Drosophila melanogaster: one gene and its partners. The protein of the gene in region 1 interacts with the protein of each later gene in a pairwise test. Each region holds a gene or a part of one and is shown in the gene's direction. Other genes may lie near its edges. The genes, in order: Hs6st, Pih1D1 and C15.

Region 1 (10,478 bases):
TAAACTATAATCTCTGGCTATTAGTAAGAATATAATCAGACCCTCTTCCGATCGGACCCTATGACTTTTTGAAGCAACCACCATACACCCAGAAAAATTAAGAACGTCACTCAGTGGCATTTATCATAAATCATGAGAAGATTTCTTCTTGATTTCGAGACGAAAACGATCTCAATTTTAATATTTTCAGAGGGAAGAAGTATCAGGTTTATGATTGTGTAAAAGGAACGTAATGGAAAGACTGACAAAATGAGAGCAAAGTCAATTGTAATCTAAGAATGGATCGATCTCTATCGAAGCATAATTCAATCTTGGCAGAATTTTGAGATCAAAATTTTCAAATCGAGATCTTTGAGAACGGTTTTTTCTCTAAGTGTATAGATGGGCACATATCATAACTTAGAAACCTCATCTTTGATTTGTAAAGCAGCCATATCTTATTCAACCAAATTCAAGGTCCAGTGACGCGTGCGCGTTGGGATTTGAATATAGAAAGCCTTATTACCGGTCATACTCAATATTCATTAACGTACGTGCAGCCGGTCATTAAGCGCCAATTATAGATTCCATTTCTCCGAATGTATCTGCAGTTTTTGTGGCTGCTACTGCTGACGACGACGACGACGACGACGTCCGCCAAGCCCACCAACTCCAGTGATTCTGGCACCAAGAATGGAATGCTGCATGTGACCAGCTTTGTGAACCAGAAGCCCAAGTCGGGAGTACGTGAAGAGTTCGATTTCGAGCAGAATGAGGCGGAGGCCACCAACTCGGCGCATCTGCAACAGCTCTTCGGCAGTTTGTTGCAACTGCCTGGTAAGGGAAACATGAGTCTGGAGCTGTCCCTGGAGACGGACGACGATCCGGTCAGCGAGCGAAACCAGCTGGATGATGAGATGAAGGCCACTGGCGAGCAGCATGAGGGCTTCACCGAAACTGCGGATGCATGGCATCGCATTAAGCTAAATATTCCGGTCCTGGAGCCGGTGAAGCACCTGATAAACACAGTTGGCGGTGGCGGCGTGAACGACTCCCATGTGAAGAGCAATACTCATCGGCTGATTGGACACCATGGCGTCCACGAAACTCACCACAATGGCGGGAACATCAGCTCCCCGGCCATCGAAACGGAGGAGGATCGGGAGACAGCCATCGACAGCACCGGATTCGATGTTCTGGAAACGTTGGGCAGCGCGGGAACGGTTCTGTTCAGCATCTTGCAGAATCTTCGCAAGGTGTTTGCCGCTAGCGCTGGAAGTGCAAGTTCCGCATCCTCGGGGGGCGGCGGCGGTGGAGCAAACTAGTGGACTTTCTCGGAGATTATGTTCTGTGATTAATATAAGTCTTGTGCAAATTCGGATTTCCCTTGATTCTTACTAATTAAATAAACGAAATGTTATGAAAATGGAGAAATTAATATTTCGATTTTGGGAAATAGATTTTGCCACTACCCCAAAAAAGACTTGCAGTTGGATTTTATAAAATATTTTACTGTCTTAATTCTGGTTTTTTATACGATACTCTTAAGTAGCCTACATGAACTCATAGTTTCCGTCGTCAAAGTTGCGATTGCCGACCATTGGACCGCCTGCTCCCATTTGATTGGGATTCTGGCCACCCATTTGCGGCCGGAACTGATTGCCTGGCGTGGTCTGGTGCTGCAAGAGCTGGCGCAGCCCCGGGTTGTTGTTGCTCATCATGGGACGCACCATGCGCTGCTGCTGCTGTTGCGCCTGCTGCTGCTGCATTGCGGCGACGTTTGGCGCCACTTGTTGCAACTGCTGCTGGAGGTTTGGATTGGGCACGCCACCGGGACCAACACCCACGCCAACACCTACGCCCAGTGGCATTCGCTGTTGCTGCATCATGTTCATCTGCATTTGATTCTGTTGCATGGGCATGCCGCCGGGACCGGGACCAGGTCCGCCGCCAGGACCTCCACCACCCATCTGCATATTGAGTTGGAACTGGTTGTAGTGTTGCTGCTGCGAGTTATCCTGTTGCATCTGTTGCTGCTGTTGTTGTTGTTGCTGTTGCTGCTGCAGCTCCATGGGCGACTTGCCTTGCTGCTGCATCATTTGCTGCTGTTGCTGCTGCTGTTGCATGTTGCCGTGCTGCTTTTGCTGTATGACTTTGCGCAGACGTTCCACAAACATTGCCTGATTATTGGGAATGAAGCCCAGAAAAGCGTTGCGATCGGGCGTGTAGAGTAGGATGAGAACCTTAAGGTCACAGGCTGGTGAGTTGGGGATGGAGGAGAAGTGGACGCAGCCAGCATAGCCGGAGGTCATCATCTTGGCCAGCGAATCGAGTGCCTCTCCTGGAGTGGGTCGAAAAACAACCATTTTCGAGTCCTTGAGAAACTGCCCACCAATATTGCCAACTAGGTGCTTGGGCATTAGCTGCATCAACAGCTTGGGCGGCCAGTTCTCAGCCTTGATCTCGGGCTCGCCATCTTTGATGTTGGTGCACACGGTACACTGGAGTGTATGGGGAATCTTCTGTTGATCGGACTTTGGCTTCTCTGACCACTCCAGCACTCCGGTCCATATCTTTTCCCTCAAGGAGGCCTGCTCCTGCTGCGAATTTCCCTGCTGTTGCTGCTGCGGATTGCCCTGCTGCTGCGGATTCGACTGTTGTCCTACTTGTTGTTGCTGCTGCTGCGGATTAGACATGTTGCCGGCATTGCTAGCCGGCATCATATTGTTTCCTGCATTGGGATTTACCTGCTGCTGTTGCTGTCCTTGCTGCTGCTGTTGCTGTTGCTGGGCCAGTTGCTGTTGCTGCTGCAACTGCTGGTGATTTAGCATCTGCTGCTGGCTCAGCATCTGCATCCTTTGTTGCTGCTGCTGTTGGGCCTGTTGTTGCTGCTGCTGCTGCTGCTGCGCCTGCTGCTGTTGCTGCTGCTGCAGCGAGGTCACAGTTTGGTTCGGCGGCGGCGCATTAATGCGCGATATCAGAGCAGAATTTGGATTCTGTTGCATGCCGCCGCCTTGGCCCACACCGCCCACATTGCCTGCTCCCTGCATGAAGGGCGGACGCGCCTGACCAGGCTGGTTGGGATACATCCAGCGGTTTTGGCCGGGTCCCACGTTTTGCTGGAAGTTCTGATTCTGCATTTGATTGGAAACGAATTGATTCTGCTGCTGCTGCTGCAATAGTTGCTGCTGCTGCTGTGGATTGAGTAAGCCCGCTGGGGGATTTGGACCGGGCTGCTGTTGCTGCATCGTGTTCATGTTCATGACCTGCTGCTGAGGATTGCCTTGTTGTTGCTGTTGCTGCTGCTGTTGTTGTTGCTGTTGCTGCTGCTGGGCTGGAGTGGTGTCCATGGGCATGCCCTGCCCTTGTTGTTGCTGACCAGCTTGATTTTGTTGCTGTTGTTGTTGCTGCTGCACTGTAGCCTGTGCCGCATTGGGTGCAGCCATTTGGGCCGCCATGCTGTTGGGACTAGGTGCTCTCTCCTTGAGGCTGTATCCCTTTAGAAGCACTAGGTGTCTTATGTTCTTGGCATAGTTTTTGCTCGTAATGGGCTGATCTCCGTCGGCCTTCATGAAAAGTTTGAACAACACCGGCATCTTGCGTGGCGCAATAATGGAGAGATTGATTTTGCGCTCGTTGAAGAGCGCCGCCAGCTGCTCACATGATTTGCCCGGATACTTCCACGACTCCGTTGTGGGCATCTGGTACGGCGGACTGTTGCAGATGAGAATGCAGTGCCTCTGGACGCTGGTCTGATCGAGCAACTGGCGCCTTTCGCTGATGTCATCAAAACAGCCGTGGGCCGCAGCAAATCCTTCGGCCATGTGGGCACAGGACTCCATTCCGCCTCCCACTAGTGGCAATCTTTCGATCGTCTCCATCACTTTTTGGGGCTGCAGAAAGGGACCATAGGTTGAACAAACTGGCTCCAGCAGATTGGCCGCTGTACGGTAGACCACAATACCGTACAGAGTGGCAAAGCGCTCCGCAATCAGGTATTCCCGCTCGTCGATGGAGCCAGTGGTGAAGTGCTCCAAAGTCGGCAGGATGTAGTTGGTCTTTAGTTCGTTGATGTAGGCTCCGTTGATGGCGCTGCCCTCGATGACGAAGACCACGTCGGCCAGGGGAATCTGGTCCACCTCCATTGGACGATGGGAGTTGGCTTTAAGTTGAAAAACTTGTTGCAAAAAATGTAAACTATGTTGTCTGCTTTACACCGCTCTTTTACTTTTTTCGTTTGTTTTGCATATCGCTCTGCTGCTATCGATAGTCAACTTATGGTTATCGCTCAGCGATTGCTAGGGCTGCAAAATAAATGAATATTCAAAAGTGCCCATAAAGTTGGATTTAAGAATATGCAGATTGCCTTGAAAACTTGTTTCTATTGAATTCTTTTTCTATTTTCACAAATAAAAAAACGTTTGGTGTTTATCTAATTAACTTAAAATTGAATATTGCATACAAAAGATAACTATAAATAAGATATTACGATGTTTTATGTTAGGTATCATAATTATAGTTGTTTTATGTATGTATTTTCAATGGAACTATAAAGTTAATTCTTTAAATATTCGTTACCAATAGTTTATATCGATGGTTGCAAGTGCTGCCAGACTCTCGCAGCGAGTTTCCGTTCGGCAGTCTGGCAGCGCGGTCAGCTGTTCCTATTGCCCAACTTGCGCAGTTCGTTTTGTTCAGTTCATTCGCCGATTTTGAAGAATGCGGACGTTGACGCTGGTACCGCGTCGTTTTGCCAAAATAATTCGTAAAAAATATACGCAAAACGCTTAGAAAGTGTCAATTAACTAAACATTAGCTATTGAGCAGTGCAAGTGCAGGAAAAACGATCGCAGAAATAGCCGAAAACACATGAAAGTGCGAATTGCGGGCTTTTTTGTGGCTGGCACAGAATGTGTGGCACAAAGCGGAAAGCGCGCTAATTGAGCGTGCGAGCGCCTGAAACGCAGAGAAATGTAAATAAATAAACGTGTGACGCCGCGACAATTGTGAAAAGTGCACAAACACGACGTTTGGCAAGTGAAAAGTGAGTGAAATCTAGATAAATTTCATTAAATTGCCCATTTCGCATCTGGCAAGAAGAACAGCTGTTGTTTGGCATCTCGCTCTGTCTGGTTGTCCTCTCTCTTATTTTGCCCTCTCTCTGTTTTTGTTGCTCCCCTTTGCTTCTGTTTTTTTTTACTGCAATGTTGCTAAATCGTTTGATTCTATTATTATAATTATACTCCTTGCCCTGACGTCACTGCCTCGAAAAACCTGATAATTTGGGTAGGCAATTAGCATGGTTTAAGTATAGTTTAGAGTACAGAGAAGTGAATTAAACGGCCATGTGTGCACAGCATGCATGCTTTTTTGTTATTGTTGCCTGGCAACATGTTTCGCCACATCTGCCTTTTTTTTCTTGTCTCTCTGTTAGTCCAATTTGCCAATAAGCAACTTTTCCATTTGTTTACAATAATTGTGATCGCTACAGAAGCACCGATCGTGAAGTAAAAAGCGCCTACATAAATATAAGGCACCAGTTATGCTTGGGCGTCACTCCGACTGCCGATCGCCAGTTATTTTAGTTGGGTGTTTGTACATTTAAATACCCTACCTAAATGCAACTTACTCGCATGTAGTCAATATCATTCAAACCCTAATATGTTACGCATTTTCCAATCGGGTTTATCACATATAAACAATATCGAAGCCAGATAAAGCGACTTGTGATAATAATCACCCATACAACAAAGGCTGTTCATTCATTATATTTACCATATTATTGATAACTATTTTTATAACTGAACTACAATATGTTCTTATAAATAAAGAATCACTAGATAATTTAAATATTAAATGAAATAAGTACAAACTATTTTTTAACTATAATAAGTTATTATTTGAGTAATTGCACGTATTATCATGTACGGATGTAGGTTTTTTGCTTTAAATAATAAACGTATTTAAACGTATTTTTAATTGATTAAGGGTATACTAAATGCATTGCTTTCGGCTCCGCCATTCACTTTCCACTATTGCGTCATTATTGGTTGATTTATGTATTTTATCGTTACGCTATACATTTGCAGATCGCATTCGCGCGTGGAAATTTAATTTAAGATTTCCCACACAAATAAAGATAAATTTGTTATTGCACAAACGTTTGTTATTCACGCCCGTCTTGAATACTTACTAATAGATTTGCAATTAAAATAGGGTCAGATTAAACGATAAATCAACTTCACCGCCTGCTTATCAGTTTTTGACCCTAACAAAAAAATAGAAAGTCCAATTAACTATGTATGTACGTTTTAATTGTGAACTTCTTATCAGTCTGCCATAGATTTAGGTTCTTAAAAACTATTTTTGATTTTCCCCTGAAGAGCTTTCAGCTACTAAGTAAGTGGCTAGATAAGGGCTAGACAATTTGACAGACCGCTTTATCGGCATGGTCAAGTGGTAACTAATCGGAAACGGTGTTGCTTTTGTAGTGCTCCCAAAACTAATAGGTTTCTAACCGTTTTTCACTCTTACTCCATTTGCAGGCACTGAAAGCCGAGAGACAAGGAAAACCCATTTCCGCGCCAAGTGCAATGGGCGAAGGTGTTCCCATTTTTCGAGTTCTTATCGGGCAGCGACTGAAGTATGATTGAGTTGGCCTCGCCTCCGATTCGCGTCTGGTTCTCGTTGCGCTAGGCCGATACGGATACCCGCTTGGACTCCACTCGGGTGGACCCTTGTTGGACCTTTAGTGCGATTTTCGAGGGAGGCCAGGGAATGGAACATGCCCGGGGATATGCATAAGAACGTATCTGTTCAAGTCGATAGTGATTTTGCCTTATTGCTGCCCAGTGGTGTTTATGAAATCAAGAAAATGGAACCGCGCTCCAAAATCCGAACAATCATTGTGTTTTGCCTCTTCCTGGCCATCGCCGGCATCATCGGATTTGGATACTTTTGTCAAGATCAGGTAAGTGCCAAATCCCCTCATTAATTCCCATTGCTTATAATTTATAATTTTCTGTTACTTGGCTCCAATGCAAATTAGCACACCAATTGGCGAAATGCTGAATTTATTCATTAATATTTGCCGTACATGTGTGCTTTTATTGGAATTACCATTCATACATTTTTGGATCGCACGAAACTTGTTTTGCTATGGCGCATTAATAAATTTATTATTTAAAATATTCGTATAAAAATATGCGTTGGAGTGTTTTTCCCTTCGGCGCTAAAGACAGCTTTTATAATATAGAACTCTTTCTCGATGTTTATCAATTTTTTGGGAGCTTTAATTAGACAAAACAAAATGTTTTGTTTACAGCCTTTCGGTTGGCGCCTTTAAAACTCGGAAATTGTTTACGCAAACGCAAAGGTGCTAATGAAATTCCTCCAAAAATGGAAAATGTGTAACATAATAAGATTTCGCTTGCAGGCGATTGTGCTTCTGTGTTATTATTCATAAATCTTTGACACGCGTGCCCCGTATTGAAATTAGTCTAATCTGTAGCATAAAGTTTACAAACAACTATGGATTTCTGGTTGGTATATTTGGGTCACTACTCATAATATCGCCCATAAATCTTCGGCGTGGTTGATTGAAATTTGTCTTATCTGTTGGACTAATAAGGCTTCCCCCCGCGCATCTAATGAATGATTTAATGGCCGAGGTGTAAAGTGCATTCGTGGGCCATAAAAACCGAACCGAGGCAAAACAGCACATAAAATTCTACCCTGGGGACACATAAACCCGCACCAGTCGCTATTCCTTCAATTTTTGCTGCCTCGCGGTGTTCATATACTTGCGTACTTTGGATATATTTAACTATTAATCCAGCTCGTGCCAGTCACGTCTAAAAAAAGCCACGATGAAATTGTTTGAAGAAGGTCATCAATTGCCAATTGCAGGCGAAACAAAAATTTAATATATGTACATACATAAATACATACGCCTCGATGAGTTCTATCATATGTGTGGCTGTTGAAAAATGTTTCAATTTCGTTCTGGCGGTCTTTAATTAAACAAGAAACAAATTCGTTGATGCTCCAAGAACCGAAAAAGAAGTCAAGTGGGCGTGACTTTTAGCAAGAGTTCAATGTCAAATGGCTGTGTTTATGATACAGATATATGTATATAAATGTTTATTCTATATATTTTCGTGCTTTTCGCTTTTTGCTATCGGCGGGTCTGTCTGCAGTGAGCATTAAACTATTTTCCAAATTGAAATAGCTAGCCAAAATGACATTAATTGAGCGCAGCTGCCTCGCCCTCTGGTTTTCCCTGTTTTCCGCACGCGATCTGGCCAGACATAGTGACGAGCAGGGCGTGGCCACGCCCCCTGCCGATGCGTACGTTGGAAAATTCGCCGTCTTTAAAAATAGCTTAATTAGTTGTACGCGCCATAAACGAAAAATATGCTTAGTGCTTGTATTAGTGTGGCGAAAGGCAAACATGAAAATTGGGCTCATGAGGTTGCGTGTCCAATGGAAAACAGACAGATTATTCTATTATTTGGGATGCGAGGGCGGCCCATTTCGGTGATTCTTTCAGATTTGTAACCTTAATGGGCCAAGTTGAATATAAATTACTCGGTCGCAATGGGAGTACTTTGTTCCCGGAATACTTTAACTCTTGCTACTTGGCCTGATAAATTACAAGCTATTTTTAATTGTCCTTCTTTGCTGAACTTAAGTAGCAGTAACAGTCCTCTTTCAGATCATTAAGCCAGTAATGTTACATTACTTGCGAGGAAAAAATGATTTAATAATATGACAGGCAGATAATAAAAAATATAAATTGCTACTGTTCGATAAACTGAATCGCATTTAATTTGGTATTGAAAGGAAAACAGAATTGATTGCTTTGGCGGGTTTGTTTTCAAACAGCTCCGTTTTTTCGGTATATACAATAGGTGCATTTTACTATATTAAATCTAAAAAAATTATTGTTTATGAGTTCTTAAAACAAAGTAAAAAGGTTTTAACTTAATAGCAAAAAATGTAATTGAAGTCTATTTATTAAAACTGCTAAAAGAAACAATCATTGACAGGTTAATAAGTACTTGAATAGTTACATTGCTTTGTTTCTGACACATTTTTAAATTTCAGCTTTAATTTACAGCCTGTGGCATACAATATTGGTCAGTAAAAGAGGAAACTTTATTTGACAGTTATCTTCGCAGTGTTTGTTCCATTTCTAAAGTAGCCACAAATGTGTAAACACTATCTGCCAGTTGAACATAAACAACATCGTTGACTCTTGCTCGGAATATTTAATGCTCTGCCTCGTTGAAATGCTATATTTTTTTCTAATTTGGTTTTATTTATTTCAATTTATGCAAATTTTAAATCACTGAATATTTATTCAGTCTTGATAAAAAGCCATTAATTAAATACCGCGTTCAAGTTGTTTGAGTATGTTTGAGTTTTAAATAAATTGCGGCTGGAGAATTTCGTGATTGCTGTGACGTCCGATCTGCAATTGTTTACGCACATTTCAAATAAGGTCCAAAGTTCAATTACAGGTGGTGTGTATTTGTTTATGCACTTCACTTGGACTCTTTGCTTTATCTGATTGAATAAACAAAAGGCGATGTTTATTATTTCGATACGCTTGCATATTCAGTTTTCATAATTGCTGCAGTGGTTGTCTGGATTTTGGTGCAATTCACAAAGCGCAGCTAATGAAATGAAAACTATTTATGACTTTTTCTGTTTTGTTTGGCCGAAATGTTTTCCGAAATTTATACCCGCACCTCAACCACAATGAAAATGTTTTGTTTTAGGTTTTTACGGCGCATTTTCCGCATTTATGTATATGTTTTGTCCCCCTTTTTTTTTGGGCTTAGTTTACTTACCAAATTACAGGGGAATGAACAGCATATGAAATTCGTGTATTTATATCACTGTTTTTATGTCTCTATTAAAACTGCACAACACTTGTCGTTACCAGCTAGATCGTGCCAAACTTTGGCATCGGCTTTCGGGCCATAAAAAGTTTACTCCGTGAATACATTTTGGTTTTTGCTTACGCGTTTTATTAGCAAAGATTTGTTTGTCCGCTTCATTTCATTGTCGTCGTTTTATGGCAGCGTTAATCAATTTAATTGAGTGTGGGATTTCTACATTTTTATTGAGAATTTTTTTGGTAGGGCACTTTATCAGATTTGTCACAAGATTATAAATCGCCTAGGGGATTTAAATCTTTCTGGTGAAACGGAGGCCCTGCTGTGCCTTAAATGTCTCAATTACCTTTAGCTCTTTGTGATCTCTGTGATCGTGTGCTAATGATTTAGTAGGTGATTTAATACCCCAGGCTTAGCAATTTATTGTTTCAAACGGTGTGACATGTTGTGTGGGTTCTTCTCTTCTCTTCTTATGATTACAAGATATTCCCCTTAATTGTTTTGGCTGCACGATCAAGATAAGTTTCAGAGCCGCCTTAACTATTTCAGGAACTTTGGCACAATCAATTAGCATTAATATGCCTGCCATGTGAC
Region 2 (13,115 bases), on another chromosome or scaffold:
GCTCATTGGATGGGCTGTATGTATAAGGGATATATTTTAACTTCAAGATCTTTACAAACTTCTTGAATTTTCTTACGTTTAGAGGAATCGTGGAGAACGCTGTTGGGATCCAGTTCCTCACTGTTCAGGAACTTATTGATACGATTCACGGAAACTTGCGTCTATTCGTTCGCACATGCAATATGGGATATCAGTTAAAATTGTTTCGCCAAATAGGTAAATTTTCATACACAAAATATGTTAGTAATAGGTTTGGGCAAAGAAAGGGAAGATAATGTGGATATGTGGAAAAATGCATCAATCCAAATCTGAATGAATATGGAATATACTCGGCTATTCCGAGGATTTTATATACCCCTGCAGATGGGCAAGGAATTGCCATATGCGAAGAGTTAATATGACTAACTCTAAAAAGGGATTTTGTATCATATTTAAAAGTGCCCTATAATATGTCTGCAACCAACTTGCATTTCACATTTTCACATTTTTCTTTCAGACAAATTTCCATAACATCGTTATATCTTTAATTAAATCCCCCTTAAATGCCCTCTGCAAGCGCATATTCGAGATCCAAACAAATGGTTGCTATTGAAACGGATGAAATGGGTACCCAACCACCAGATATATGACCATTCGGAACTGGTTTGGTTCGGACAACTTTCAATCCCACACGATTGTGACGATGAGCATACAATTTCGGTATAAATGAGTGTAAGGATTTAATGCAGGGTAGGGGGGAGGATCTTTGGTTAGGGGAATACATTTCGGTGTAAATTCGATTTGGCTAAAAAAGAATTCAAATTAAGTAAATAAACATAAATCACAATCACAAAACGGCACAAAATCGACGATCACAGTGGCGCCGGGGATCGGCAAAAGTTATAAGGAAAGTGGAATCCCTCAGCCACACTGTGATCGACTAGAGTGGTAGTAATTGGTATTGCAATCGGGCGTAACTTACTTGCACCAGGTTGGTGATCAGCATGGGCAACATTGTTAGCGGAAATCGTAGAATGTTGAATAATGATAATGAGACAAAGGTTTTGGTGGCATCAAGCACGTTATTTTCATCAATTAAAACGTAAGTGGCGAATGTAACTAATGAAACCTAAAAGATAATACACAATTTCGTTTAAGGCGTTGATAAAATGTTCGTTCTTGATCCTTGATCTGAAGTTGATGGATATAGGAGAGGCGGAGAGGTGCACCATAGCCGAAGAGGTTGTTAATCCATCGCCATCGCGGGAGCTGTACCTCGGCTATGTCAACACTCAGCATGGGCAGGATGGTCAGCGGGAGTTTCATGAGGTCGAAGAGGGCGATTGAGACTAACACCTTCTCGACGCTCAGCTGATTCGCCTCGCTGGTTAGCACGTAAGTGGCGAACGTGACCAAGGAAACCTTTGTTTGTTCGGACACGAAGTACATATATTTGCCAGATTAGTCCAATGCTACACGTCCAACTCATCTCAGTCAGCTGTAAAGAAATCTCGGAGGACTCAGAGCCCTGCAGGGCTGGCATATCTTACCAGGAACGGTGCACAGGACCACAAGAACGAAGTGCCCGCGTTCAAGTAGGCAGTGGAGCGCAGCGTCGCAATCTCCTTGTCACGGATGTCCAGCACTTGCTTCTCGAAACTCGGTTCCCAGGCGTACAATTTGAGCACCTATGTGGATTATAAAAACGGTTAGCATAGAATCGACATAGCATCGACTTCTGACAGCAGTCAGCATGACAGAGGATAATTGTTATACTTAAGAGATTAGGCTTCTACCTAATCCCTAGTCCTAGTGCCACTCACCTTAATGCCACTCAGTACTTCGTTCATCAACTTAACACGCTCATCTTTGTACTTCATCTGTCTGATCTGATAGGTCTTGATGCGACTGGCAATCACTCCGTTCACAGGGATCAGGATAATCATCACAGCCAAACCGGCCAGCACAGACGGTCCCAGTTGCTGCCAAAGGAAATACAGGGCTAGACCGATCTGCAGTGGCGCCGACCAGATCATGTTTAAGTAGGTTGTCAGTTCCATGAATCGCTGGGCATCCACGGCCATCAGGTTGACGATCTCGCCCACGGTGGACTCCTTTTTGGTGGAGTTCGAAATGCGCAGGGCCTTGCGGTAGATGGCATTGATCAAAGCTGTCCTGATTCGCAGGCCCACAATGAACATTCGGTGGAAATATTGCCCCAGAATAAAGGTCTGTGCAGCGGCCAAAACGAAAAGCAGGACAGCGTATAAGATACCCTTCCATTCGGGCTCGGCATCTTGGGCCTCGACGAAGCTGATGATCAAACTCAGGACTTGGGGCTGGGCAAATGTCAGGGTGTCGGTGAACAGCTTCATTAGGGCGCCGAACAGAAAGACGCCTCCGAAGGACTTGTAAATTGGCGGCATAATACTGGCCATGCCCTTCTTGCGGCCATTCTTCTCACCGTGGGGATTCTCAAAGGTCACGTTGCCATTGCTAAACTGCGCCTTGGGTTCTACGCGCGCCTTGTTCTTGTAGTTCTTGCGCACGTTCTGGTTCCAGTGGTGGGCGAAGATGGGCATGACCTCGGAGCAGCTGTCCTGCGGCCTCAGGTCCCACAGATCCTTCTCCTCCAGCGGGTTGCGATAGCCCTTGAGGGCCATTTTGTCGAACCACTGATAGGTGATGCGGGAAAGGAAACTGGCTGACAGTTCGGGAATCTCGTTCTCACCCCTCTGGTACTTGGTTTGTCTGGGCATTCCGTCCGCGAAGCAGTTCAGGATCAGCATAATGCTGGTGAAGGTGAAGAAGATAAAGAAGCTAACGAACTGATACTCCTCCCAGGAAAAGTCCTGCTCGGATGGCTGTTGCGAATTCAGAATCTTCTGGCGCTCCGCGTCCAGTCGAACTTCAGTGCGGCAGCGGGGAATCGACAGCACAGTGAGCAGGAACCAGAAGATGAACTGACATCCCGTGGTCTGCACGCCATACTTTCGATTCAGCGGGATGAATATGAAGAGCAACAGGAAGGTGGCGAACTTGATGATGGGACCCCAAACATCCAGGTCGTAGAGCGGCAGCTCAGAGTCGCCGCCCTTCTTGACCAGCGCCATAATTAGGTCCAGGGCAGTGATTACCAGCAGACCCAGATTCACCAGAGCTTTGCTCACGTTCAGCTTGTTCCACGGTATATTCCTGTCCAAACTCGCCTTCAGGTAGTAAAAGTCAAAGATCACGAACGCCCAGTAGAAGGCGCAGGGTGTCCAGACCAGCGCCGTTTGCTCAAAGCAGGGCGTAAAGTCCGGATCGTTGGTATACCATGTCTCTGTTGCGTTCTGTTCGTTGGACACACGGAAACCATACATTTACACTATGCATTCGGATTGAACACCACTGCTGATGCACTCACCCAGAACGTGGATCCGCAGAATCTGTCCATCGGCGAACTAGTGTCATCCGCCATGGTTACTCGACTGCTCGGCAACCTCCTCCACGTGCAATTGGGCTATATGCGTATGCTATATCGGGCGATGTGGTAACTGTAAAGCGGCAAGGAAATAAACGGATCTATATTTTCGGGCCAACAGCTGTTCCTTCCCAAGCCGCACAACTACAACAACCGCTAATCGTGACAGTGGGAAGTTGATTGCTAGTATTTTTCTGGTATTTCGCGGGCACAGTGGGTGTCGGATGGAAAATGAGTGTATAATTCTGCACTGCGTGTTATTTTAATTGTTTATATTGATTTAAGTGAAACTTGTAATTTTTGTACATAAATTATTAAAATACATTTGCTTGGAAAACTTAGTAGAAGCAAGTAGAAATCAATTGCATTTGCAACAGCAAAAATACAAATGAATTTCTTAAATTTGGATTAAGCTTTTAAAGTTTCATATAGAAATTCATAGCAATTATTCTCGAAAATTCTTGTCATTTACTTTTTATTAATGAGCACCCTGTACAGGGAAAACGCCTATCTAGTATTTTTAGCCTATCGCATGGCATTAAATGTTTTTCCACCGGCGTTCACACTGTCACATTAGTTTTCATTTCAATCGAGTTGACAGCTCCATTCTGGCAAATAAAATTTGCGTTTTTCGCTCGTCGCTCAGCGCAAAAATAGCATTTGCATTGGATTAACTCGTAACTGGCAATTGAAATCGTGCAGCAAAATGTCGCGTCGTTCCAATTTCATTGAGGGCAACGACAATTTTCGCGACCAGAACCTGCGCTTTGTGCGGGTAAGCAAAACTTGAGAAATTCGATGTGAGGAACTATCTGCGCCACTAAAGATGAACTTGTTTTTTTTTTTTTTCATTTTCTAAATGCAGAACGAGTTTGAGGACAATATTAACCAGTACTTTGGAGGCGCCGATCCGGAGGGCAGCGGCCCGCAGCAGAAACCGCCGCCGCGAGACTCGCTGATTGTCCAGCCGACCGCAGGTAAGTGGCGTCCATTGCAACAGCCGGAGCTTCACATGGCACAGCAATCGCTGCCGGTGGCGCGGAGAATCTAACCGGAGATTACAGCCAGCTAGTAGTAGGCATGACTCTGGGTTTATGGTCTACTTAGCACTTGTGTGTGCACAGTAATCTCTGCGAGCGCGGAACCATGTCAACCTGATAAACATCTCACGTCGACGTCGATTGCGCGTAATCGCTCGGGGTGGTACAGTGAACCCGCGATAAGGCGAACAAACGCACGCGAATGGAACACGTCATAGGACAGAAAAACCCATCCTAACGAATCTTCGACAAGACTTTAAAAACCAATTACGAATATTGAAAACATATCCGAATTACTTGTATTTAAAATTGAATCAATTGCTCTAAATTTTTTAATTAATTCCGTAAGTTAACTATAGTTTGTGCACACTTTTTGTATATTCAAATTTCCAATCTTTTAATGGTTATTAATTAGTATTTTGCACTTAACTATTGGATAATTCGTCAAAACAAAGGCAAAAAATCAATTATCCAAACAAATCAGTTTAATTCCTATGCACACTATTATTTGACAAACTATCTATCGTATTGAAACAAAAAGAGGGTTGAGCGGGTAGTTAGTACGAAGTTTTGTAATCTAGCCGTCGTTATTGTGCGCTACGGCAGTTAAGTGTTTACATGTCCAGGGCCACTTGGAGGAAGGTCTAATCGCGCCCACTTGAAACGATAGTTTATAGTCCAGCGAGATTGTACAATGCCAATGACAAATGAGCGACTAAAACGTGTTTCCCCGCCTCGAAGAAGAACTAATTTACACAGAGATACACACAACTAAAAAGAAGGAATGAGAAACTTTAAGCGAATCTTGAACGGAGCTCATAAAAGGTATTGGGCTAGTCACATTTTATGGGCGCCAAAAACTTGTTTGCCCCGTACACGCATGTGTTTTAAGCCATTTGACTTTAGATAAAATTCTAACACATCTGAAACGAGTATTTTCAGTTCGATATAATTAACGGCGAAACCTGTTCCCGCAGCGATTATATAAGCACAAAACAATCGGCAGAAAAAACCCCCTTACAAAACCTAATATTTCAATTGTACGAAATGTGTGTGTTTTGCCTTTACACCCAAGTGAAATTTCTCTTTAAAAACAAAAACGTCGACTCACGATGAGATGCTAAGCAAAATGGCATGGAGATCTCTTGGCTGCACCATAAAATCAAGGAGAAAACCTGACAATTTTCTCAGCAAAAAACGCCACTCTCTTCACAACCTGACTGACACACACGGTTTGTTTGTTCTGGATCAGATCATGCCAGCCGGCACAAATTGTTTACACCGCCAAAGAAGAGTGATTTATTTACAGAATATCAACGACACTCGACACTTGATGACTTTTATTAATAGGGAAAAAGCTGAGATAAGGCTGACTGGCTGCATTTAGCCAAGTGTGCAAACTCTGGAGAAAACAACTTCCACATAGCGAGAATGATTATACGAGCAGCTCCTTATCGGGGACCCCACAGCTGAACCTTATCGTGTGTGCTGCCTGTTGCTGTCCCCCTACTAGACTCTTCCATTGTGTTTGTCGTTGCTCCAGTTATGAATTGCACATCGTAAACCCTATATTGCTCCTAATCGCACACTTGTTTGCTCCACTTGCTGCTGATTCTGAGTCCTTGGAGCTTGATTACCATCGGACTGGGCGAGAAGCTGTCGAACCCACAGATCGTAGGCCATCTTTCAAGGCCTGTGACGTCAGTGGAACCCACGAGGCAATTAACTTCAAATTTGTTCGTACGAACAGCAGTACGACAACCTTGCGCACCACAATTTTTACACTTTTTCTGTTATCAATTAAATAATCGAGCTGCGAGCATGACAAAACACTTAACCATATCAAACTACTTTGAATGTGAATCATCGATTTCTCGTCAGTTCTTTTTTTTTTTTTTCGTATTTCTTTCGTTTGCTGAGAAATGTTTGCGCGGGATATTCTGGAGCCTTTCGGAAATTTCACAATTTCAGGCAAAGAATGTGGACACACAGAGATAGATACACAACACATAGATACGAACGCACACTGGCACACTTGTTCCGCTTTGGCGGAATCCAACAACCACATATCAACAAGGGTATCAAAAATGGACGGCGGTGGTTGTTGTTGGCGGTATCGATGCGACTGAAATGTCACTTATAATTACCTCTACGTAGAAAAAAACTCGCTGCGATTCAAACGAATCGGTTGTGGGGGATCGGAGTGAATAGAATCGAATCGAAACAAAACGAGCCGTAGCGGTTGAGGTCGGATCGCTATTTGGATTTGGATGGAGGGCAGCGTCGGCGGAGCACTTCAAAATCGACGGACAACCGGCTCGTTACGAGCAAAAAGGCAAACTGAATTCGAAGCGAGCGCTGCGAACAAACTTATTTGTTTTCCGCGCTTTCCGTGCTCAAAAAAAAAACAACAAAAATGAGATAATAGCGCCACCTCGGAGAGCGTTTAACTTGGCTCTTTTTGTGGCGCTGACTGCCTGGTGGCCGCCCGATCAATTAAAACCCCCTGCCATCAAAGCACCCGACTCTCCAATAATGCCAAGTTTGTCCAGAATAAAACCCAGCTGAAAGATACCGACTCTCTTTCCTGATTTTAAGTGCCGATTTAAACATATTTTCCTGCTCTGGTGAAATTATTCTGAACCGAAATGGACACACGACGCGACTCTTAAACGTTTTGTTGTCGCAAGAGCAACAAAAGTGGGCCGAAATGATAACGATATCAACAGTAGTCATACAATTAAGAGCATTTAATGGGTGTTTGGTTGCGAATTCTTCACGATTTTGGTATAAGCATGACCATACCTATTGATTATCAGTTTATTGTGTGTTTGATGCCATAAATGTATAATTACTGAGTAGTTTCTTAACAACTACAACTACAGGATTTGCTGCTATGCATTTCGAAAGTACACACCAATAGAATAGAATTCTGTGATAGAATTTCTAATCTAATCAATTTAGATGTTTAATTTAAAATATGAGATAGTGGCAGTGCTTAGTGTTTATAGATTGACAAAAAATCAAACATCAAACTTAGTCAGCATTTTGATAACGACTGAAAAGGCAATCAAGTAGTAATGCAATTGAAATTATCATTTTTTTTTGTGTTGTACAATTTGTTAAAGCAATTAAAGGGTGGGAAGAAATGCAAAACAAAGCAAATCTATTATAGATTTAAACTAAAATTTGTATGCATATTTTCAGTGAGCATTGTCGTCATGAGTAGATTAGATTGGAATTGGTTTGCTAAACGTGACCACATAGCTCTAACCTAAAACGTGTCTGCTTTTTTAAATTTTAAATTTCATATGTGGTACCATGAAAATAGCCAACAGCGAGCTGGACAATCGGCGCCAATTTCTCCGTGACCTGGGCGCCAGTCGGGTGTTGGCCAACGCCTTGGCGCAGCGCACCTTCAATGTGCCCAAGTTCAACCTGCGCCATTTCCAGCGCCAGAGGTTCCGCCTCAGCGTCGAGCTGGGCGACAGTCACCAGGATGTGGTGGACAAGGAGGTGCTCCAAGCCATCGAGGAAGCGGTGGCTAGCCACGACGACGTCGAGTCGCGGCCACGCACTCCGTCGCCGCCGCGGAACATTGATTGGCACAGCGCCAGGATGAATAACTCACCGGCTAATAAGGATCGATCGCGTTCTAGGAATCGTCAGAGAGAGGAAAATTTCCCAAACAACAATCGCGGAGTTGTGGAACAACGGGAGCCAATCAATAGGAATTGTGGACCCGTAAATCGCAATAATCCTGGCATGAATCCTGCTGAGTTCAATCGCAATCGTTATGCAAATGCGCAGGACTTTAATCGAAATAATCGAAATATGGACAGAAGTGAATTCAATCAAAATAATCGCAATTTCAACCGAAATGAGGGTTCACGTCCCAATCCACAGGATTTCAATCGTCCCAATAGAAATCAAAATCCACAGGATTTCAATCGTCCCAATAGAAACCAAAATCCACAGGATTTCAATCGTTCCAATAGAAATCAAAATCCACAGGATTTCAATCGATCTAATAGAAATCAAAACCCCCAGGATTTCAATCGTCCCAATAGAAATCAAAATCCACAGGATTTCAATCGCAATAATCGTAATGCCTATCCGCATGAATTCAATCGTAATATCCGAAATGATAACGAGCAGGAATTTAATCACAATCGTAATGCAGTCAATGATGAATTCAATCGCAATACTCGTAATGTTAACAACCAAGCATTCCCTCAAGGACATAACCATAACAATCGTAATGCGAATGCACAATTCAATCGCAAAACTTTTGACGAGAACCCAAACTTTAATAACCAACGTTTTCAAGGACCAAATCACCAGATCAACTATCGTGTTCAGATGCCAAACAATGATCATTCCCAAGTAAACAACAATCGCAGGCCTGGTAATCAGAACTTCGTTTCGAATCAGCAACCCAACTTGGATCGTAATGCTATAAGCGATGACGGCATTCAGCTGCCAAGAGATCGATTCCGTTCGCCTGAAGCGCATCCAAAACAACCACCATATCCACGTAATGTGAACGCTGACCAGGTTGGAAACCGTGGACCCCAAAAGAGGCACAATTATCAGCGTATTGTGAATGACAATCAAATAATACTACGTCGCACCGACTGGACTGACGAAGAAGAGGATCTAGATCTAGAACACCATGATATAGACGACTATATACCCGATGAACGCGAATTTCTTGAAGATGATGCCGATTTCATCGATGACACAAATGATACACTTATGAATGATGATCAGTATGAGGGTTACCACTCAAGGGGTAATCAACACTACATCCAAGATCATAACATCGATGATCGTAATTCATATGGACGCAATCGCAACGATCGTAACTTTGAGGGCATTAGGCGCCAGTTTGATCCAGAACTCGATCGACGCAACTTAAACGACAACTTCAATCAGCGAAACAACTATTCGCGTGGCGGTGACACCGTACGCTTTCCCCGAAGGGAGGATGACACATTCCAAGGCTCAAATAACCCTAATTTTCCACCGAACTATCCAAACACTATTCTCCGTGGATCGGGTTCTGGAAATCGTTGCCGCGATACGAGCTCTAACAGACCCATGGGTCCCAATCAAAACAGACGAAGCCGCCTACCAAATGCTGATGAAGCTGCTCCAAGTGTGGCCCATTCTGGGGGTCCCATACAAGATGGAACTAATTTAAATCGTAGAATCAATAAAAATTTAAATCCTGGCAAGGGGCCAGATCGCATCAATGCTGGGACTCCTAATCAACCCAGATCCAAGTCAACCACATCTCAAACTCGAAATCTAAATCCTGATATTCCAAACAAAATGGTCAAGAAGTCGGCGGTTCCACAAGACAATCGTGCACCGCAACCAAACAAACCTATGAACACCAATCCTGGTGCATCCAAACCTGGTCAGTCGGTAATCAAACCGAAACTACAGGCAACCAAGATCAACGCGGCCATGGCGAAACCGCTCGCTGGTAAGGGATAAACTTTTGAATTCTTAATAAATTAAAAATTTGATACAAACCAATTACAAGCTAGCTTATAGAGCTTTTGTATTGGTTTTAAAGTGTATAAATGATTTTAAAGCCACATTTGGAATGCAAACCCGTTAAAAATATATCCCTTTTTTTTCAAATGCCTTAAATTAAGGATCGTACTCTAGCTACAAGAATTTTTGATAAACCAGTTTTGAAACACATTTTCTTGGTTTCAAACCCGATTCGAAGTTATCAACTGCATTTCATACTTCAAGAAGCTAGTCATAAATATGCTTTTGTTTGGTTTGCATTCCGAAATTATCGGGTATACCCAAAAAACAATACATGTTCAATTTTGCAGGGATAAAAAGAAAAGCTGAGACTACTCCAAAGTTAGGGGGGGCTACCAAAGCCGGGCCAAAACGCCAGAGAGCGGATCGAACAGATCGCAGCTTCATTATAGGCGGCATTAGTCTGCCCTATATCAACAGCAATACCAAGAAGCTGCCACAGCCGGAGGAGCAGTCATACGCGGTGACCTTCTTCGAGCAAACGCCCAACTACAACACCAACATATATGCCATCGACGATGGCCATGTTGATGAAGACGAAGGTGATGGGGACGACGAGGAAATGTCCGATGCCGAATCTCTGGACTCGAACCGATCCGGTGTTCTGTCCAAGTGGAAAGGACGCAGTTCGAAGAAGAAGGTGCGCACCCAGTTGCGCAAGGAATGGACAAAAATCTATAGAACCAATAACTACAAGGACTGGCACGCCTGGTGGCGGGATTTCAAGTGGTGCGGCAGCGAGATTAACAAAAAGCTAGAGAAGTTCGGCGATCGCAATCTGCGCCACCGCTTTGCCCCCATCGGCCGGAAACCGATGACCGGAAAGACGATCAATCAGATTTTTAAATCGGGCCACATGGGTCTGGAGAAGAACACCTTTAGCCACTACCGCAATATGCGTTCGATTTTCCTACTGATGAACGAAAAGTTCCTCAACAGTTTGTCTGATGAGCAATTGGAACAGTTGCAGGACTTGATACGTGGCGTTCCAAATCACTTGTGGCTCTACAAGATCCGCAGCATGGTCTACCTTTGGGAAAGGTACCATGGCACTCTTAAAACCCATTCAGCTAATAATTTCAAAAGCGATAAGGAAATTCAATCCATAGCGAGAGAATGGAAAAGTCCTGTCTTTCACTGGTTAGCCAAGCAGGCTTTCGATGAGCTTAAGGTGAGAAAACAACATTTCCCAAAGCTAAAAGTATCTGAAAACCTTAAGGAAACCCAAGTTCTACTATCTTCAACTGACAACGAACCTTATCTTTATTTATAGGCAATCAGCGAGATCGCGTGGCCGGATCATAAAAAAATCTATCCCGGCTTGAAAGCATAATTGAATGCGAAGCATATTGTATAAGATTGTATATGGAATCAAAGCCAAAATAAAACAAAGGGGTTTGCTTTTGCAATGGCCCATACGATTGAATCGCCTCAACTTTCTATTTTTTTTTTTTAGCTGCCAGAAACTTTCCAGATAACAAGCCATTTTAATAATACTCAACTCTTTTCTGTTTCCCCATTAGGAATCTGCGTGAAAAGCTTCAAGACAAACAGTGATGAAAAGTTCTTCATTAACGTGTGCCAGGCAGCGGAAGTTCCAGCACCGCAGGATGTCACCGAGGAGGAACTGATTGGCATACTGGAATCCACTACTCCTGGCTCCTATCGAGTGCCCATGAGCATCTCAGATCCCAGATTCACGAAGGATCGTTCCGATAAGACCGTCGATGTCTGCGACATCGCTATCAACCCAAAGTTTCTGGTAAAGATCCAGAAGTCGCAGCTCTTCAAGAACTTCTTTATGCAAATTGTGATTGAGGCGATGAGCGAAAAGTATAATGTGCAGCTCAACATGGAAAAGACCATTATTCTGAACAATCGCAAGTTCATCGGCACTTTGGTCACTCATCGTGTGCGCAACGAAGATATGAAAAGGGCCCAGTCTACGTCCGGCATTCCTGCTGCTCTTAACAGCCGGGATGGTGGGGCTGTGGCACCGGAAAATTCCGGAAAACTGGTGCAGGAGATCGACGAGAAGGATGCTGCTGCCATAAGGAAGAGTCGACAGTCTGCAGGCGGCGGTTTTCTGGATATACAGTACAAACTTCGTGGTCGAGTTCGTGACGAGTCCGTTGACGAAATCCATGCTGAGATCTACTTGCCCAACTACGTAAGATTATTATGGATGCACAGAGAAAAAGAAGTTTATTTATGTCACCACATCAATCCGCAGGTTTCTTCGCAGGAGTTCAGTCTCCTTGTCGGCGAGGATCGTATCGTGGTGGAAACCCGCAAGTATGGCTATGTGTTCAACAAATTCGTCAACTACCGTCTGCAGCAGGATCGTGCACAAGCTCTGTTCGATAAGACCACCAAGGTGATGCAGTGCACCAAGTTTGGAGGATTCAAATCTTTAATTTCTGTTCTTTCTTCCCATTTTTCAGATGCTTCATGTTCGCATTCCAGTGTTCAGTAACTAAAAAGGCACATAAATGAATAATGCCCGCTGTGATAATGTTAATAAAGGCGCAAATTTTACAATTTATTTTATTCTTGAATTTTATTAGAAACTGAAAAAAAGGGGCTGATTGGATTTTCTATATATTCAAATGATATCATATATTGACTGCGAAAGAAAAAAACATCATATTTTATTAAGTTGTTTATATCTTTTTAAGTTTCAATAAAAAAAATTTTGCTTGTTAATTTTTAAGTTTATATTACTTACACACTGACAAATGTGCTGCGCTTATTTTGTCAAAATACTTATGCCGACTAGTGTAGATTAAAAAGCGGTTTCGAGGCAACAGCTAGCTTATATTTAACTTTCATAGATTTTTGTAATGTTTTTTTTTTTTGTTGGTTTTCCTGGTTTGACTTTCGTGCTCATGTTTTATTCTACATTTTTCAAAAGAATTTGTGATTCAATATTTTCAGGTTGTGTGTTTTCTTTGGTAGTGAAAGTGTAAGTATGTATGTAATATAATATAATACTTAATACAACCAATTCATTAGTAAATATTACTATAAAATATAGCTCTTTAATTAACTACGATAGTAGT
Region 3 (10,250 bases), 1.5 Mb from region 1:
TAATCGCAGGAGAGTGCCGCAATTGTTCGTAATCATACGAAAATTGCCTACAAATGAACTGCTTAACGGTGTGTCGCCCATCCAGACAATCGCAATCAGAACACCCCCACAACCACCCACAGTTTCCCCGCAGAAAACACATTTAGGCCCCGAAAACTGTGCCAAATTTGCGTTTGCGGCCCAAAGCCTTGACTGGAACAGCGCGCGGTCATATCTAATTTATAAAACGGCTAAAACGGCACCCACCAAATGGGCCAAAATTCGAGGAGGCGCGTGGACGAAAGGGGAAAGCACTGGGCTGAAGAAGGGAAGTCTTTTGTGCGGCAGTGAGAAATGCGTGAAGGAAATCAGTTACTTATTAAAAATGCCCATATACATGCAACAAACATGAGCTCATGTATTTCTATATGGTTACATCAGCTTACATACATATGTAAGTGCCAGAGTGCGGTGCATAAAATCAGTAGCTCTTCGTGAAAATCAAGGTGATTGGAGTGGGTGCGAAATTAATTAGAAGCACCCTTATGGTTATAGCGAAATAAAAGGGGCTTTGGAATCCTCACACCGTTTCTCTTTGGGAAATTTACGAAACAAACATTTTACATTTAGGACCATGTTTAATTGAGCTGCCCTCGTGATCTCACTGACAAAGCGGTTTCTTATATATGTGGACTGATTAAAAATAAAAAGGTTATACAAATTTCAAGTATCACTTTGCCTCGTTTAATATTTTACTATTTAAGGGCATGTTTTTGATAAGACTGTTGGATGAATAATTATAAAAATTTTTAGACTCGTGAAAGTAAGTTGACCAAGTATGCTGAAGTTAGGTTTCTTGACCATATTACTTTGAAAGAGACAGTTTTTAAATTTATGGCAATCGGTATCACTAAGGGCATTCTCTGGAATCTACATGCTTAATATCAACCTTCTAGTTCTTTTAGTTATTGAGATCTTTACGTATATAGATCGAATCTTCTAGTGATCCTAATCAAAACTCACTGTGCTTAACAGGATCAGAAAGGTTTCTTTCTATTTGACTACATGAATCCAGGGCATTCGTTACGTTCAACATAGGATTTGCTTTCAAATCATTTTCAGAAATGTCTCTAACAACACTCCAACAGCCCCAAGAACAAAGAAAGAAACCACAGTTGCTGATTTTAGACGCTTTTAGGCAATCGTTTGAGCCAAATTACCAGAGACGTGGGGCGCCGTTCACTTCTCCCCGTTCGCCTTGAAATTGGCAAAATATTTTCCCCGCACACACACTACTACACCTACTTCAGGCCTCAAGTCTGATCAATTATTGATGCGTTAATTTATTGGTTGGCAAATTGTGTGGCCAATTGGCTAAAACAAAAACACACGCATTCAAGCCATTTTGGGCAGCCTGGCCTAATCGAAGTCAAGTGTGGACAGACGGATCGAGTTTCAAAAAACAATCACGACGGCCTTGCTCTGGAAAGGAACTTAAGTTCGATTTCACCAAGGATAGCACCCTTCCTTGCGTTGAGGGAAATCACCGAATGAACCAACCCACATATCGAGATACCGATAGCAGTGATGGCAAGGTAGTATTTAGTGAGGTACTGACAAAGTATGGATAGCTATTTGAGATGCGATTTAAAAAACCTTAAAGCTTGAAACTAGATATGTTTTTTAGGAGTTAGGGAAGGAAAGGTATTAGTCTATATTCCCTCCTTATTCATTAGCTAGTGGACCATCTCTACCCGTATATGGCGATGTCTTTGGTATTCATACAAAGTATTCCCGGGTATGTTTGCATTTTAGATTCGCATAAAGGTAAAACTGTCACCAATAATAGCCCAGCCCTGACCGCACATAAAATCCTTGCTGCGCCATCCTGAGAGAAAGTGAGACAGATGCCTGAAGTCAGAGAGGGAGCGCAAGAGATGGCTATAATCAGTATTGGCATTTTAAGTGACACTTGGTCTGCAGAGCTCGGCAACCCCCACAAGCCCCGCTGTCACACCAATCTGGATCACATCCCCCAACCCCAACGGCGAACCAAAGTCGCGCCGTGCTCCGCCATTTGTATATGAGCCAAATAAAAATGCATACCAAATGAGGTTGGCAGCACTGCCAGGATTTCGAACGGCAGGAGCGGTTGGAGCGACTCCTGGGGCGGTATTATTCGGAGGCACTTGCGCCAAACTTTGCTGCTGAATATTCCATGAAGTTGCCAATAAAGTCAAGTGGCAACGACTGAAGCTGTGGCTGCACCAGTTACAGTGCATACACTGAAAGAAGTTCGGGCATTTATTCCAACTAATTTGGTTTTACCTTCGGTAACAATTATAAAATTATATTTTTTCAGACATTGATTATTAGGAATATTCAGCTCTGAGAAGTTAAAACTCCAAAAGTACTGTAAAGATAACAATTAGATTCCAGAGGTTGGTTTTATCCTGTATCCTTACCCTATAAAGCTATGAGATTGGAGCTCCAAGGTTTTAGACCAAGCGGGTACGCCAAATCGGTGATCCTTTAGGTGGGTACTAAAAAAATATCCTACAACTAAATATAAGGATTTTCACAGAAAGTCGACAAGCAGTTAACTGATTTAAAGTTAATTGAATTTCACCAATAATCTGAAAGACACAACCTATTCTCCCAGTGATTGTGTAGATACACTTAGGCTAAGTTTGTTCTGGTTGTTGCTGTTTTGTCTGCCACCCGACTGCAGTGCGACGCTGCATACTAATTTTCCACAGCCCTGCCACCGCCCATCGCCCACCGTCATCTCGTTCTCATCTTGGAATCGGAACCACCACCACCAGCCTCTTAGCCATCTCCTCCTGCCCCTGCATGAATGCGATGTGGTGGTCTGAGCCTCATCATTTCGTATTCATACCAAGCACCAATTCCTCGTCGTTGCTGCCGCTGCAGTTATTGTTGTTGCCTGCTATTAAGTGAAATAAAAGTAAAAATGCAATAAAAATGTTGGCCGCCTCTCGTTTTGCATTAAAATTGCATTACAATTGCCGTGGATGGGGCGCTGTTGTTGCTATCTTTGTTGCTTTTATTACGGCAATTGTTTCTGCGTTGTTTCTGCCCAAATGAAATCCAATTAGCCGACTACAAGGCCTACCAACCAACGACTGCCAGCAGCAGCAGCAAAACAGCAACAATGACATTGCGAGGCGGTACGAAGAGAAATGGAGTTCGCCTCGTGACTTTTTCCAGAGTCCTTTCCACTGCCAAGTGGTGTGCGTGTGCTTTTGTGTGCCTTGCCAATTGAATATGCAGTAATTGCCTTTCTTCATTTTTGGCCATGATTTTTTGCTCGTGTCTGACACAGAAACATGGCCAGTTAAGTGCAGAAATGAATATTTATAGTCGTTACTTCTAGGATCGGACTCCGTTTAAATGCAAAGTGAACGGTTTGATTCTGCAGCCCACTCTCAAGAAAAATTGAATAATAATCAAATTATGAATAATGATATTATAAAGATAGGTAAAGATATGTAGATATAATTAACTAACATAATTTAACATTGAACAAAAAGCTGCATATGCAGCTTAAAACCAGTGATCAATATGTACATACATTGGCACTCTTTTAAATCACAGAATAGTATTTGTGAGGTACAATATAAGACCTTAAAGCAAATCATGTTTAAGAGTAACCAAACTGTGCAAGTAGAGATATAGTAACCCTTTATTATGAAATATAGATATAATTATCCTCTGACCAGTAGCGAATCTCCTAAGCGTAGTAATGCATTATCCAAGTTATCGCAAATAGGATTTGGGATTTTCATAACATTGCCTTATTCTGAAGGGGTTCACATTCCACATCTCGACTCAGCTATCTCAGCTAATGAAAACGGAGTACGCAATCGCTTCTGGCCACACACACGCATTCCATCCAGGCCGGCTAGAACAACACCTGAAACTGAGACTAAGACTAGGACCGAGATCCCGGCCAGCGATGAGCAGTAACATGGCTCGTGCCCAAGAAAAACTGTCAATTAACCCGTGGGGTGAACTTGTGGAAAATGCCAGAGCTGCTGCATCCACTGCATGCCGCGCAATTTGCATTCGCATGGCCGGGGCAAATGGATTGGATTCCTGTGGCTTCAGCTCGAGTCTGCTTATCGCAATCGCCGCCTGCCAAATGCCAGGCGATAGCGCGTAGAACTCTTGGCGCTAATAAAGATCTCAGTAGTAAGCGGTGTGAGGTGGTGAGGGGTGACATTAGGCGGTGGTGCAGGGCAGCCCTCCTGGCCAAATCCGCTGCTTTGTGAACTCAAGCTGACAGAACGCTATTTCCAATTGTGCTATTAATCTGCCACATTTGCACTTCCGCGGAAAAGAGTCGGCGGGCGGATGTGATCTCTTTCGCTCGTCAGTTGGCTGACTCGCTCTGCAGGGGTGATTTGCGGGCGAGCGAGTGAGACAGAGCGAGGCAGAGTGGTAACGCTTGGCTAACCTGAAAATAGAAACAATCGAAATAAAAATACATTCTCTTCATGCTCTCGTCTAATAAAAAACCCCAAAAGCAAAACGTTTTCCATTTAAAATGTCGTCGCAACTGCCAGCGGGAAGTGGACGTCGAGAGTGGCAAGTGTGTGGGGCAAACTCCGGCCAGCGGCCAATGGCGGTTGGCCGAGGCCACGCCCCGTGGCTCAATTACCGACCAGTGCTGCCCATCGGCGGGCAGAGCGAAACCTGTTTCCACGAGCGAGAGGCAGTCAGGCGCATGTGCGATCAGAGCGGGATGGATGGCTCAAGGGTGGACCAACCAGAAGAGGCAGGTTGCTGGTATTATGGTAGGTTAGGTTCAAACAAGGTGGCAAACTGGCTCTTAACCGAAATAGGAAGGAAGTCGGCAGCGGCGTCGACGTCGGGCAACTGGTTTGACTTGTTTCCGGCTCACTCCAACAGCCCAAACCCACCAGCAATCGGCAGAGGCAGCCAAGTCGGCAGAGGGCAGGCAGAGCAGCGGCCGTCGGCACAATTTGATTGCATTTATGAAAAGCGTTTTCGCCCGCTAGCACGCGTCCGCTCCCAGCTCGCAATTCGCCATCCGTAATCCGTAAACTTTAATCCGTAGACCGTAATCCGTGAATCCAAAGCAGTTCTCAGTTGGAATTTCCCGCAACGGGTAGTGCTTAAGCGCGGAAACTGAATTGAAATCAATCGGACGATTAGTGTGTGCTTCGCGGTTGAAACACTCTACATCTAACTATTAAGAGAAAAGAGTGCCCAATAAGATTCGAAAAGTGCAGTGAGCGAGCTCCAAATTGGCGCCACTAATTGCCAAAATGTCCAGCCACGAGGAGGATGACCATGAGCACGAGAACGAGCACGGCGAAGAGGTGGAGGAACAGGAGATCCACGTGGATGTGGACTCGGACTCGCGGATGTCATGTGGCAGCGGATCCGATGTGGATATGGACGGCGGCAGCTGCTACGACGAGTCCGAAACGCCATTGAGGTGAGAAGGAGAGCTTTTAAATAGAACCAGGAAGTAGGAAAAATGTCCCAAAAATATAGATATTATCAGTATAGATATACCATAAATAAGCAGATCTTCCAATTACAATAAGACTTCTACATATACATACATATATTATTTTTTTAACTAGATTGTGATAAAATGCTTTGGCTTCCGTACTACTTACTTAAAACTGAAGAGGCCTTTTTTTTTAAAATTCATTTTGGTAAATATTTTTCAAATATGAATAACGTCTGAATTTATGTACGTTGCAAAATCGAACAATAAAAAATATTTTTGGTTTAATTGTATCGTAAATAATCTGCTACACTAAACTTGAAAAGAGATTGCATCTCTATTAATAATAATAATGGCTTTACTTTCAAATTATACGATGTACAAACATAATAATTGGTCTGAAACAATTCATTACGGAAAATCCCCAAAAAAAATATATTAAAGAAAAAGCTCAGTTTTTCGTTTACTCTTGATGGTTATGATCATCATGCAAATTAATAAATATTTTTTTGTAAGTACTGGGCTTGATTTAGTTGGCCACATTATTCGTTAATTACTCATAAGTCAAAATTTAGATCGACAGCAATTTGATCGACTAACTGAGAGAAAAAGATCTATAAGCTATAGTTATAATAGTTGGCATACAGTCTTATTTTATTGCCCTATAAAAGTCAAACAAGTATTGTGGCGGAGAAAAGCTATTTGCATTTGTTATTACGAGCTCATAACTCCCACTGTTTTACGATCTTTAACATTGTCACTCATAATGCTCACAAATCCTATTTTTCGAATCGTGGCTCAACGCCATTGAAATGCGTTGATGTTTAAGCCCCATTGTCCGCTCTTACAAATGGTCCCATTTTCCAGCGACAAAAGGGGATAACAAGATGCCAGAGCATCCAGCAGACCGTGTTAACTGATCCCATTCAAGCGTTTGTGCGCTTAGAAGAACAGTGTGAACAAACCTCTTAAACGCTAATGAATTGACCACAAAGCCACCAAAAGAATCAAGTCGAAATGTCCCATAAAGTGCCAAAGAAACTCCCTGAATTTACATAGTTCACGGATGGCCAGGGTTTCCAATAGACGACGACGATAAAACGCACATTAGTAAGGCGCCAAAAACGGGCTGTGATAAGACATTGGGGTCCATTTGGGGCTCAATCTGGAGTTGGATCTTCGGCTTGAATGCCGGACAAAGACGAAATCGTTTGTCGGATTAACATTTTAATAGAGATCGTCATAAAAATGCCATAAAACCCGCGTTCCAGCGAATGTAGATCACCAGATAGCAGCAAGTTTTGGCCAGTGAAATAATATGTGTTTGCTCATAACTTTTGATATTGGAAAGTGTCTGTGTGTCGGTGGTTGGCGATTTGAGATCATTGTTCCGATACAATTCCATTCCTGTTCCAAATGGGTTTTTACTTTTTGGATTTATAAATTAAATGCCGTGCGTGACTTGTTTTCGGTGCGTCAGTTGATGGCATTTGATGATTTATGGGCGCGTATTAAATGCCTCTAACGGCCGTCAGCATTTGCATAATTACTTCATTTCCAGCCGCATTGCGTATACGCAGCGGTGGCCACACGGGTTCTGCATGTCATGTCGTCAACTCGGCTTATCCGCTCGCGTGGGCTTTTGGTTAGTGGTTCCGAGACTGGTACGCACTGCAACAGACTTAATTATAGTCAATGTTCTCAGGCTTTCCCGCTTATCGGGCGACACATTTTAATGAGCCCGCACCTCCAGAGGGCTTCTTTCCCTTCGATTCTGATGTCTTTTCTCCGGTTTTTATTCCCAGCGAGTCCCTGCAGTCGGAGCAGACGCGCTCCTCGTCCAGTGAGAATCTGCCCTTCAGCATATCACGCCTGCTATCCAAGCCCTTCGAGACGAGTCACCACCACCACAACAACAACAACCACCTGCTCAGCAGCAGTCCGGGCTCCAGCAGCAACAACAACAACAGCGGCGAAAAGGGCGAGGAGAAGGAGCTACTGCAGCAGGAGGACCACGACCTGGCCTATAAGCTGGCCACCAGCATCGCCAACTCGACATACGGAAGCGCCGCAGCACTATACTCGTATCCGCATCTCTATCCCTCAGCGGCCGGCGGTCATGTGCTACGTGTACCGCCCCAGAGAACGCCGCTCACCTGGGCACTACCGCCACTGCATCACGCGGCGCTGGCACATCAGGCGGTCAAGGATCGGTTGGCAGGTGAGTGAATAGCAGCGAAGTCAAGAGGGTTTGCCAAATCCAACCCATTCGGGGCCCCCATGTCGGGATGGCCCATGTTCGCCGAGATCTTTCGGGGGAGCGATCCTCCAATGACCCGCGGTGGCAATTGCTACTGTTCCCCAAATAAGCACGATCAGAGAAGACTTTTAAGGCAACATGCCTATCGGCATGTCATTGTTGGCCAACACATTCGTGCACCAAGAGAAAATGTGGCATTTGAAATAAAAGAATTGGTAACATTAAGAATAAAAATGTTATATATGTGCCTACATAACGCGTAGTTGGATGCATTCAATTGTGCAATAGGGTGTAGGAACATAATTTTAAACTTCTTGATAAAACATATTTTTGTATATTCATTGTTGAAAATAAGGTGCGAAGAACGTTGTCTAATGGTCTAAAAGGGCTTACTTACATATTTCCTTATAATATAATTACGATGGTCTATTAGATGGTATTTTCTGTGGGTAAGAAACAGCTTAAGGCTAGAACACAGGTCTCATAATACGAATTTTCGCTCAGTGTACACTCACTCTGGTGAGCTTGGGATGCTAAAGTATAAAAACATGTTTGCCTTCAAATGCGCAATCGCAGCTTAAGTTAAAAACTTAACGCTGAGCCGCCGCCCAGAAGCGACTCAGGAATGAGATGCGCCTTCTTATTTGCATGCGCATGCGCAGTTGAATTTGTATCTGTATCTGTCGCTGGTCCTCTGAATCCGTATCCGAATCTGTATCTGTATTCCATCTGAATCTGCAACTTCACGTGCAGCTGGGTCTTCTGGCTCCCTTTTTGTTAATTTGTTTACATTATGAGCTTCACTTGTAGCTACAAGCGATGGGCACAGCGCGAGCCCTTTGAAATAATGAGACGGCGTTGATTTTATTACGCCTCGGCAGCCGAGGGATCTTCAATGGTGTGGAAGGGGGATCCCGATAGGGTTCGGATCCTATAACTCATAATATTCGGGCCTTTTTCGGCCTTGTGATGTGGAAAAGCTGCTTAGGAGCAGCGCAGCCCGGCAATCTGACGGGCTTTTATGGCCGACATCCGCCCAGTGGTTCTGGTTAGCTGTTTGGCCTTTTTCTTCATTTTAGTTATTTTAATGAGCTGGTTTACATGACTTTTTAATTTCGCGCTGCGCTCGAAAAGGAATTAATTACGCATTGGGCGGTCGCTGGGCTCAGCGAGTGAGTTTTCTGTCCTCGCCGGCTTATTTATCGCCGCATACCGCACTTCACATTTGAGTCCAACTGACATGGTCAGCTTTTAATTAGCCAGTCGAATGCTGGCGATCCGAGGGCTGCATATCCATATCCATACTTGTGTGTATATCCGCCGAGGAGGGGCATTCGATCGAGTGGATCGTATAGAATGGAATGGGATCGGATCAGTCACTTCGAGTCGACTATTCCACCTGAGGGGCACACTTATGAGCCCGCCGGGTGATCCAAGCTTCTGCCGCTCGGTTTCGTTTTGTCAACATCTTCGTTTTCGTCTTGGTCTTGGTCTCGGCCAACGTCTGTGTCTTTTTGTGTTTATTGTGTCGCTTGCCTTGTGGCTGATAAGCTGGCGCCTTGGCTTTTTTCATTAACAAGACAAACGAGCGTCCAGGGTGCGGATCCGATCCGATCCGATCCGATCCCTTCCCGCGACCAAAGTGCTCCTCTCTCTTCCGCCGGGGCCCTTAGCGCCATATGATTAATAACCATCGCATGTTAATTCTCGTTATTTTTTGGGAAACTACGTCGCAGCAGGCGCCAATTACTTTTCGGCCATGCACGCCCTAATGCAGTTTCATAACAGCCATAATAGCCTGATTGGAAGGGAGTTGGGCTTTTGTCACGACACTTGCCCACACGAATGTTACCAATCAATGGCGGAGTAGGATCTATAGGCTAGTGTATAGAAATTCCCTTTACTAGGGAGCTCCTTTAGTAATTTAGTATTTAATATTAAAAAATGATGTAAACTCCGTGAGACTGTATACTAATTTGCCATTTAACAGTTCCCATTTGCATGCGCTTTGATTGGTTACGTGCTAGTCTTGAGGTAACTAGTATATAACTAATCCAAATCACTAGCAAAGGTCAGAGTGCAGCACTTTTGAAAAGAGACCAAAATAGCGGAGTGGGAGGAAACCAGTCCCAGCCACAGGCCGTCATCAATAATGCATGCTAAAAGCTTTTTGCATTATTTTAGGTATTTCTGGTGAGACTTCTCGGCCGCAGCCACACACTCACCGCCATCTGTATCTTAAAGATACTTGTGTTAGCTTGTGCGAAACATCATAAATAAGCTCGGTGGAGCACGGTGGAGTGCCGGAAAGCTATAAAATTATGCTTATGCGCCTTAACCTCCCTCTAAGCGGATATGTTACATCCTTGAAGGATACACACATCTGAGCTGCGGCAGAGGGGAAAATCCCGAGGCTGCTGCTTATGTGGTGCGATAAATGGCTTTTTATTGAAATTGATATTGCCTGAAATATTCAAATGATCGGCAAGCCACAAGACCTCCGAC

Evidence for each region.
Region 2: the proteins of Hs6st (region 1) and Pih1D1 interact in a two-hybrid assay, tested with the Drosophila melanogaster proteins (one large-scale study listed by BioGRID).
Region 3: the proteins of Hs6st (region 1) and C15 interact in a two-hybrid assay, tested with the Drosophila melanogaster proteins (one large-scale study listed by BioGRID).

Annotation. Positions count from the first base shown.
Region 1 is NT_033777.3:20,002,706-20,013,183, reverse strand, and holds the start of Hs6st (heparan sulfate 6-O-sulfotransferase), read left to right. Parts: upstream 1-4,671; 5' UTR 4,672-5,023; intron 5,024-6,524; 5' UTR 6,525-6,763; coding exon 6,764-6,949; intron 6,950-10,478. Other genes in the region: CG17190 (uncharacterized protein), read left to right, coding at 591-1,304; MED25 (mediator complex subunit 25), read right to left, coding at 1,533-4,124.
Region 2 is NT_033779.5:12,712,758-12,725,872, reverse strand, and holds Pih1D1 (PIH1 domain containing 1), read left to right. Parts: upstream 1-4,029; 5' UTR 4,030-4,151; coding exon 4,152-4,220; intron 4,221-4,310; coding exon 4,311-4,422; intron 4,423-6,632; exon of another isoform or gene 6,633-6,828; intron 6,829-7,816; coding exon 7,817-9,979; intron 9,980-10,343; coding exon 10,344-11,224; intron 11,225-11,326; coding exon 11,327-11,386; 3' UTR 11,387-11,477; downstream 11,478-13,115. Other genes in the region: MRP (Multidrug-Resistance like protein 1), read right to left, coding at 1-14, 77-161, 1,255-1,401, 1,530-1,667, 1,803-3,314, 3,389-3,442.
Region 3 is NT_033777.3:21,494,964-21,505,213, forward strand, and holds the start of C15 (C15), read left to right. Parts: upstream 1-5,022; 5' UTR 5,023-5,294; coding exon 5,295-5,467; intron 5,468-7,290; coding exon 7,291-7,706; intron 7,707-10,250.